2 linked regions of the Macaca mulatta genome follow. The protein of the gene in region 1 purifies or fractionates together with the protein of each later gene. This does not show direct contact. Links are inferred from orthologs where the notes say so. Each region holds a gene or a part of one and is shown on either strand. Other genes may lie near its edges.

Evidence for each region.
Region 2: the proteins of MMP2 (region 1) and COL5A1 purify together in Homo sapiens (co-immunoprecipitation; 3 studies listed by BioGRID and IntAct, counting the BioPlex papers as one, with this or other methods). This does not show direct contact. The link is inferred for Macaca mulatta from reciprocal best matches to the Homo sapiens genes MMP2 and COL5A1.

The regions. Positions count from the first base shown.
Region 1 is NC_133425.1:50,967,156-50,971,692, reverse strand, and holds the start of MMP2 (72 kDa type IV collagenase), read right to left. Parts: upstream 3,030-4,537; 5' UTR 2,751-3,029; coding exon 2,598-2,750; intron 1-2,597.
Region 2 is NC_133420.1:7,773,072-7,776,873, reverse strand, and holds part of COL5A1 (collagen alpha-1(V) chain), read left to right. Parts: intron 1-319; coding exon 320-487; intron 488-893; coding exon 894-950; intron 951-3,802. UniProt on the Homo sapiens protein: Type V collagen is a member of group I collagen (fibrillar forming collagen). It is a minor connective tissue component of nearly ubiquitous distribution. Type V collagen binds to DNA, heparan sulfate, thrombospondin, heparin, and insulin.

The sequences.
Region 1 (4,537 bases):
TGAGGCCAAAACTGAGCAGGTCCCTGCAAAGAGGTTCAGGGAGCAACAGACTCATTTATTTAGTCAACAAATACTTTTTAGCACCTACCACGTACCAAGCCCAGTGCTACTGCTGAGGATAAATTGGTGAACAAGATAGACAGCTCTGTCTCTAAAGTTCAATCCTAGCAGGGAGGCTGATAGATCACAAATAAAACCAAAATGAAGTATGTGATAAGTGCCCTGTTGGAACGGTGAAAAGAGCCAGGAGATCTTCTGACAATGGTCCTAGCCTTCTTGGAAGTAGTTAGGAAAGGGGAAATCAAGGACATAATAATAATATAATAGGAATAATGACTAGTGCTTATTGAGTACTTACCATGTGCTAGGTAAGCACCTAAGATTACCTCTCTTTTAACCCTGAGATATGGAATTTCCCAGTTTGCAGATGAAGAAACTGAGAAGTCACTTGCCCAAGATCATCACTAGGCCAGCTAGTTAGTTCACGCACCCTTTGATTTGAAGCCAAGCAGTCTAAGTCCAGAGCTATCTTCTTAAGCCCCCCACTGCATTGCCTCTGGACAACACAGACTTCCGTTTGTCAGTGGTGTTCAAACCAGGCACCTCCATCTTGAGTAGAGGCTGGGTAAGATGAGGCTGAGACCTGCTGGGCTGCATTCCCAGGAGGGCAGGCATTCTTAGCCACAGAATGAGACAGGAGGTTGGCAGGACTGATTTCACAACATACAGGTCAGGTCACAAAGACCCCTATGATAAAACAGGATGCAGTAAAGAAGCTGGAGAAAGCCCACCCAAACCAAGACAGCAATGCAAGTGACCTCTGGTCGTGCTCACTGCTCATTATATGCTAATTATAATGTATTAGGATGTTAAATACATTAGACACTCCCACCAGCGCCATGACAGTTCATAAATGCCATAGCAACATGGAGAAGTTACCCTATATGGTCTAAGAGGGACAGGAACCCTCAGTTTCAGGAACTCCCCATCCCTTTTCCGGAAAACTCCTAAACAATCCACCCCTTGTTTAGCATATAATCAAGAAATAACCGTGTGTATACTCACTCAAGCAGCCCATTCCCTGGTCTGCCTATGGAATAATCACCCTTTTATTCCTTTAGCTTCTTAATAAATTTGTTTTCACTTTACTCTGTTGGCTGGCTCTTGAATTCCTTCCTGTTCCACGCCAAGAACCCATGTGGCCCCCAGGCTGAGCCCCAATTTAGGGGTTCATCCTGTGACCCATTGGCTGGAAAAAGTGTAAGGAACCCAAGCAGCTTTGTCATTGTCCCACAGCTCCACTCTCAGCCCCACCCAACAGCCACATCATTATGCTAGCCAGCTCCAGACCCTTGAAAAAAGTAGCCCTCTAAAAATGTACAGTTTCCCAACCCATCTATCCAGAGGGGGCTGAGACTTAGCTGCCTGGAAAGGGTGAGAGTTGGGAGAGGGTAGGTGTCATCTCCTGAAGGAGTTCCTAGGGTGACCAGAGGTCATGGGCGTCTTCTCCCGGACAGGTTGAGGGGGAGGCTGGAGGGCAGGGTGGCTGAGGCAACAAGGGAGCAGATATCCCCCGGAGTGGAAAGGACATCTTGAAGGGTCCCTGGCTGGCCTCCCTCCTCAGGCCCTACTTACGCAACACTGCGGCCAGGCTCAGTGTCCCTCCAGCCAGGCGCGCGCACGCTCACAAGACAACATCTGAACCGCAGTTTGGGAACCCAGCCAGGAAGGAGGACTCGCTGGCCGCTCTCCGACCCTAGCGGAGCGCAGTCCGCCCCCGCCCCACGCGCCAGGCCCTCCAGCGCCTGCCCCACTCCTCTTCCCTCCTGCCGGGCAAGCTCTCTCCTTCTTTCCTCCGACCCTTTGGAGAAGTTCGAGGAAACTTTCCGAGGCCCAGCCCTTGACCAATTTGTCCATTAAGCCAGGTGAAAAAAGATGCGCTCTCTGCTTCCCTCCTGCCCCAATCACTTCCCAAATGGCCCCCTTGAGCTGTTTATTTAAAGGCCCCTCTCCGGATCTGTGCTGAAGGTTCCTAGAAGTTTGCCAAGCCCCGCGTTGGCTAAGCTCCCTCCCATCCTTATGCGCGCATAAATTTACCCAAATTGTGTGCCAGAGCCCCGTTCCCAAAGTCCTACATTAGGAAAAACGACCCCTTTAGCTGTCTGCCAAAGGCCTACCAAGACGCTTGGCGAGAGCCCTTAGCAACTGCCCAGATGTGTCCAAAAATTGTTTACAAAGACCGCCCCCCCTTGCCAAATGTCCCAGATACTAGAGGAGGTCCCCGCCATTTACATAAGAGTCCCTTTCCAGTAGTTTGCCAGGTCACCCCTCTCCCGCTCTCTGGCTTGTTTTTCGCCCCACTGCTGTATCCTGAAGGTTGCCAAATTGTTTATCAAAGGTCTTCTCTGCTTACAAAAGATCCCCCACCGTTTGCAAGACATCACTCCAATAGCTTACCAAAGACCCCCCAAGCTGTTTACCGAAGCCCCTCCCCCACACTGTGTGCCCACCGCCGAGGGCAGGGGGAGAGACACCCCCATGTTTTGCCTCCGAAGTTTGTCTAAACTTGGTTCCTTGAGGCCAGCGCAGCAACTCACCACTGCCAACTCTTTGTCCGTTTTGGGGGCAACATCGCCGGGGAACTTGATGATGGGCGACGGCGCGGCGGCGGCATGGCTCAGCAGGCAGCCCAGGAGGCAGAGCGCCCTCAGGGGACCCGTGAGCGCGCCCCGGGCCATTAGCGCCTCCATCGTTGCGCTCCCGGGCCCCGTGCGTCGCCCGGGGGTCGCTGGCTCCGTGCGTGTGGCCGCGTCGCCGCCTGGTTGGAGCCTGCTCTGCGGCTCAGGGCTGCGCTCCGAGGGTCCGCTGGCTCGGTGGCCTGGGTTTTGCCCGGCTCAGCGGCTCATGGTCCGGCCCCCGCGCCCCCGCTGCCGCCGCCGCCGCCGCCGCAGGTCCTGGCAATCCCTTTGTATGTTTAAAGCCCCAGATGCGCAGCCTCCAGCCACCGCCTGAGGAAGTCTGGATGCAGCGGAAACAAGGGAGGGCAGCCGCCAGATGTAGCCGGCTGGGCTGGGAGGGAGCTGGCTGGGCCGGGCTGGGGGTGGGGGGCGCATTCGGGCCCGCCCCTCTCTGCCCCACCCCCCTACTCGCCCTCCTCCGCTTTTCTCTCTTTTTCCCTTTCTCCACCTCTTTTCCCCGGCCGCCTGCTACTTCTGGCCTCCGCGTCCACCCTCAGTGCACGACCTCGTCACCCCACTTCCCTCTCTCGAGATCTGGGCTCACAGCCTCAGAACCCCTTGCTGGGAAACATCTGGCGCTGTCGCTCTAGGCCCTTGACGTCCTGAGGTTAGAGAGTGGTACTACTTGGAGGAACGCCGGCTGGGCCAGGACTCCCTGCACTCCCTGGGGTCAGGAACGGGAAGGAATGGTCAGAAACAGATGATCAGCCACATTGATAGATGGTCAGAGACAGAAATTTTCGATATTTAGAAATGGGGACAGAGAGGAATGAGATGAACAGAGATGGAAAGAGATAGAGAGATGGAAACAGAAACAGTGGAACGTCCCAGGTTGCTTCGCTACCTCTTTCCTTCTGCAAATGTGTAAGCCTTAACTTGGCCTCGCGTAGTGCGAGATGCTAGATACACCTTGGGAAACAGAGTAGTCACGGCCCCGCGTTAGAGACGTTTGAACCAGAGCGACTCCATCTTGAACAGGGGGCTGGGTAAAATGAAGCTGAGACTTGCTGGGCTGCACTCCCAGGAGGGTCCGCATTCTCAGTCACAGGATGAGATAGAAATTGGTCAAGACTGGTTTAATAAGATAGAGGTCACAAAGACCCCACTGATGAAACAGTATGCAGTGAAGAAGCCAGCCAAAACCAAGATGGCAAAGAAAGGGACCTCTGGTCATCCTCACTGCTCATTTTATGCTAATTATAATGCATTAGCATGTTAAAGGAAGCACCCACCAGTGCCAAGGCAATTTATAAATGCCATGGCAATGTGGGGAGGTTTACCCTATATGGTCTAAAAAGGGGAGGAGCCCTCAGTTCCAGGAACTCCCCACTTACTCTTGAATCCTTTCCTGAGCCAAGCCAAGAATCCATGTGGCCTCTCAGGTTGAATGCCAATTTTGAGGTTCTCCCCGTGACAACATTCTCTGAGGAATGTCCTCTCCCTTTGTCAGGAAAGACAGTTGAGAGATAAGCTGTGATGGGAAACTCTCGCAGGCTATTGGGAACACCTGACTTCAGCCCTTAAACTAGCAAAGACAATCAAGGAAGGCTTCCTGGAAGAAGTGACTTCTGAGTTGAGACCTGAAGAGCTAAAGATGTGGAGTGCTGGGTGGGGAATATGGGAAAAGTTTTAGGCACAATCTAGGGAACATTGGCAAAGGCCCAGAGATGAAAAACAGCAAGAGGCACTGGAGAAGGAAGTTTTTTCCATCTGAAAAAGGTGGGGCACAGGGTGAGGGGATGGAGCTGGAGGGGTCAGTAAGGACCAGCCTAGGAAGGGGGCAGATAGGACTGGGGTTC
Region 2 (3,802 bases), on another chromosome or scaffold:
TCCATGGTGTGCCCTCGTGCCAGGGCAATCTGGGCTGATGATTTTTTGTTGGAGGGAGAAGATGCATAAAGAGGCTGCCAGGGGACACAGGACCTCTCCTTGTGGGTTGGACTCCAGACTCCAGGCATTGTGTAGCTTAGGAGGCCGCTGGTCTTGAAGTCCTGGATTTGTCAGACCTGGAGCCCTCAGAGGAGGTCTCTCCCAGAGGGGGGTCTCTGCCCGGTTGACTGGGTAGCCATGGTGCCCGCCCAGGGTCTGATGGAGAGGCAGTGCCTGGTGCATTTGTGAGGTGACCCTGCGCCTTCCTCTCCCTCTGCAGCCAGCTCCGCCTCCAGGGGAAGGTGCGGATGACTTGGAGGGGGAGTTCACTGAGGAAACCATCAGGAACCTTGACGAGAACTACTACGACCCCTACTATGACCCCACCAACTCCCCGTCGGAGATTGGGCCAGGAATGCCGGCGAACCAGGATACCATCTATGAAGGGGTGAGAGGGTGCAGGCCCCCATTCCAGGTGGGGCTGGGGAGCTGGCGGGGCATCATGGGGGCTCCTGCCCAGGAGCCTCCTCAGGGGTGGGGCTCTACGGGCAGCTCAAGTGTTGCATGCTGTTCCCAAAACTTTATTTTTAAAGAGACCTCAGTGCCTCGAATTTGCTCTGAATAACGTGTGCATCACGGCATGCTCTCCTCCGGGCCTGTTTCTTCATTAGTAGTCTCATGGGCTTCCATGGGCCTGGCCTCTGTCACGCTCCTGCCATCCTCCTGGGCCTGGGGAGACGCCTGACTGCGATAGTGCCCTCGCCTTGTGAAATCGGGCAGATTTTGTGTAATCTGGACTTTCTTTTTCACTTTTCTCTCCGATTCTCTCTCCATCTGCCTTTTATCACCCCCAGATTGGAGGACCTCGGGGCGAGAAAGGCCAAAAGGGAGAACCAGCAATCATCGAGCCGGTGAGGACATTTTCTCATTCTCTCCCTGAAGCCGTGGTGTCTGCTGCTTGGGAGCACAGTGGGGTGTGTAGGGCGTGACCAGGTCCGTGGGCCCCTGGACCTGCGCGGACTGGGTCACTTCGAGGAATCACCTGGTCTCGTGGAGTCCACGCACCACTCGTCACCAGGACTTGGGAAGAATCCCCTCAGGTCGGGGATGTTCTGGACCATGATGGAGGGGGCGGGATAGGTGCTGATCCCAGCCCGTCCTGCACCTGAGCTCTGAGCATCTCAGTGCTTGTCAGTTTCACCCGGGATGAAAAGCAGCTCAGCGCTTTCGAGGCAGAGGTGGAGTCCCCTTTGAGGGGTGGAGGAGAGAATGTAAATGGGCCATTCCTTGTAAAAGATGCGCGCGGCAGTGGTAGGGAATAGTTAACACATGGCTGTACTTTCCGCGTCTGTTATGCAACCGTTTGGAGTAAGTTTACTGAAGCCGTTGAAACATGGAATACTGTTTATGAAACTTTGTCAAGGGAATGAAATAAAACAGCACTGTGCTGAAATAATGAAATAAAACAGCACTGTGCCGAAATTCCAGCTGAGTAAAACCCAACTATGTTAGGTAATCAGATCATGGGTGAGTTTAAAAAGTTACTGTTGATAATGCCCTCAAGTGTGGGACTGTAGCGGAGGACGTTCTAGATGCCCCTCCTGGGTTGGCGTGTTTGGTGGGGGCCCTGCCCCACACTGGGGTGTCCTTGTCCCTCAGGGGGTCATGGCCTGGCTGGGAGGCCTGCATTTCTCCCTGGGGTCTCAGAGGCGCTAAGGTCAAGGTCTTGACATCCCGCCCACCCTGCCGGCGGGCAAGATGCCCCGTGAACAGCTGGGCAGGGAGTCTGGCAGCTGCATGTGGTAGGCACGACCTGAGAGCAGGGAGGAGCCAGCACCAAGGCCCACCCTGCCATGTTGTCCAAGTGCCCACAGGAGGATGTGCGCGTCCTGCATCACGGCCAGTCGCGAGGCTGGGGGCGGCTGTTTGTTCTGCTGCCAGGGCTCCGTTCCTGAGGGCTGAGCTCAGGATACACCTTGGGGCTCCCAGAAGCCCCGTGACCTTGCGGTTCCCGGAATGTGGAGTCATGGTGACCCACCACCCTCCTGTAGAGCTGGGGACATTCTGTTGGAACCTTGACAGATGGCACTTAGCAGGCATTTATCCCCTTGGAATCTGTTTGAAGCCCGTGGCCAGGGCAGACGGGATGTGTCCCATCTCTGGGGTGGAATTCCCAGGGTCCAGGGCTTCACCCCTTCCTGGCCTATGGAAGCGTCTGGATGGCTCTGGTGGGGCTCCATGCCCCTGCTGCAGGCCCAGCCCGGGGGTAGGACCTGCCAGTGCCCACAGACACATCCTTTTCTCAGACCGGAGCCCCTTTCCAGTGCTCTCTGGGGGTCCAGGAAAGACAGAGCTTGTCTGAGGCAGAAGGGTCATTGGGTGCAGGGCAAGGGGGTGCAGAGGTGTGAAGGGAAACTCTGAGGCCAGGGTCCCCCTGCTCAGCAATGTGGACAACCTCAGAGCCAGGCCTCAGCTCAGGGAGCAGAGTGGCTACGGGGGAGAGTGACAGCCGTCCACCTGGGCGGACTCACCCAGAAGCGGGGCTGCAGGCCTGTTCTGCTCTGCCCAAGGGTGTTGGCCAGAAAGTGAACAACAGCAGAGGCTGCGTCCAAGGTCCCAGCCCCGAGCCACCCTTGTTACTGGGAGGTGGGACATCCTGCCGCATTTCCCCAGACGGTCTTGGCCCGCAGGTGGACTTGAGGTTGGCCTTGGGCTTCTTTTGTGCTGTCCCCATTGCTTCAGTGAAAGGCGGTCCTTGCTCGGGGAGGAAGATGGGAGGAAGATGGGAGCTCAGGAGTGGGCAGGTGCGGCTGGCTCTGCGAGATCCCGGTTTCCCCTCCCCGCTCTGGGAGAGCCGGACTGAAACCTTTGAGCGAGCTTTGCGTTGGCTCACATTTCCGAGTAAGCTGGTTCTGTGAGTGTAGACGTGGTGTCGGGGCTCCTGAAAGCGGGTGGGCGTGTGGGGTGGGCACAGGTGTTCCACTGCCAGGCCCCTGGGAAGCCAGCAGTGGGCAAGGGTGGGTCAAGGAGAGGGCGGAGAGTCGAGGTGGCCCCACAGGAACCTCACGGCTCCGGAAAGTCCAGTTCACCTTTGTTGGGAAAAGCAGCAGCCGTCTGGATCACTTAAAAAGGATTCCCTGCCCCGGGCCCCAGCCTGCTCCCAGTGTCCCGGGGCCTTTGGCCAGGCCCCCTGCAGAGATCACATAAACAGTTGGAATTTCTCAACCTGGAGCATCGCCAGATGTCCTTGGGTCCAAGCTGCACATAAACAGATTGCCAGGTCCTGGGGCCCTGCAGGCGTCCCGGCCTGTGGAAGGGGGTGTCTGTTGTCTCCCATTCCCGCAACCTGCCCCACCTGACTTCTCTCTTGGGAGATGCATCTGTTCCTGGTCTTTCCCACTCAGTCCCGCTCCCTCTCATTGTCAGCCAAACCGGAGGTTCCCTAAAAAGGACAGGAATCCACAGAACGGAGAAGTTCATCTTTATCCCTGGGCTTCCAACCGGGAGGCCCCCAGGGGCTGATTTTACCTGGGCCACGTCGGTTAGGGGCATCCAAATCACCATCTCCACTTGACGCTGTTTTTTGTTTTTTAAAAAGTGCTGTTTAACAGATGGGTGGACCTCCTTTGAGATTGTCTTGAGTTCTGCCAGGTCTGAGGTCTTTTATTTCTTTTGTTAAAATTGTATGCATTCAGCCAGGTGCGGTGGCTCACACCTGTAATCCCAGCACTTTGGGAGGCCGAGGTGGGTGGATCACCTGAGG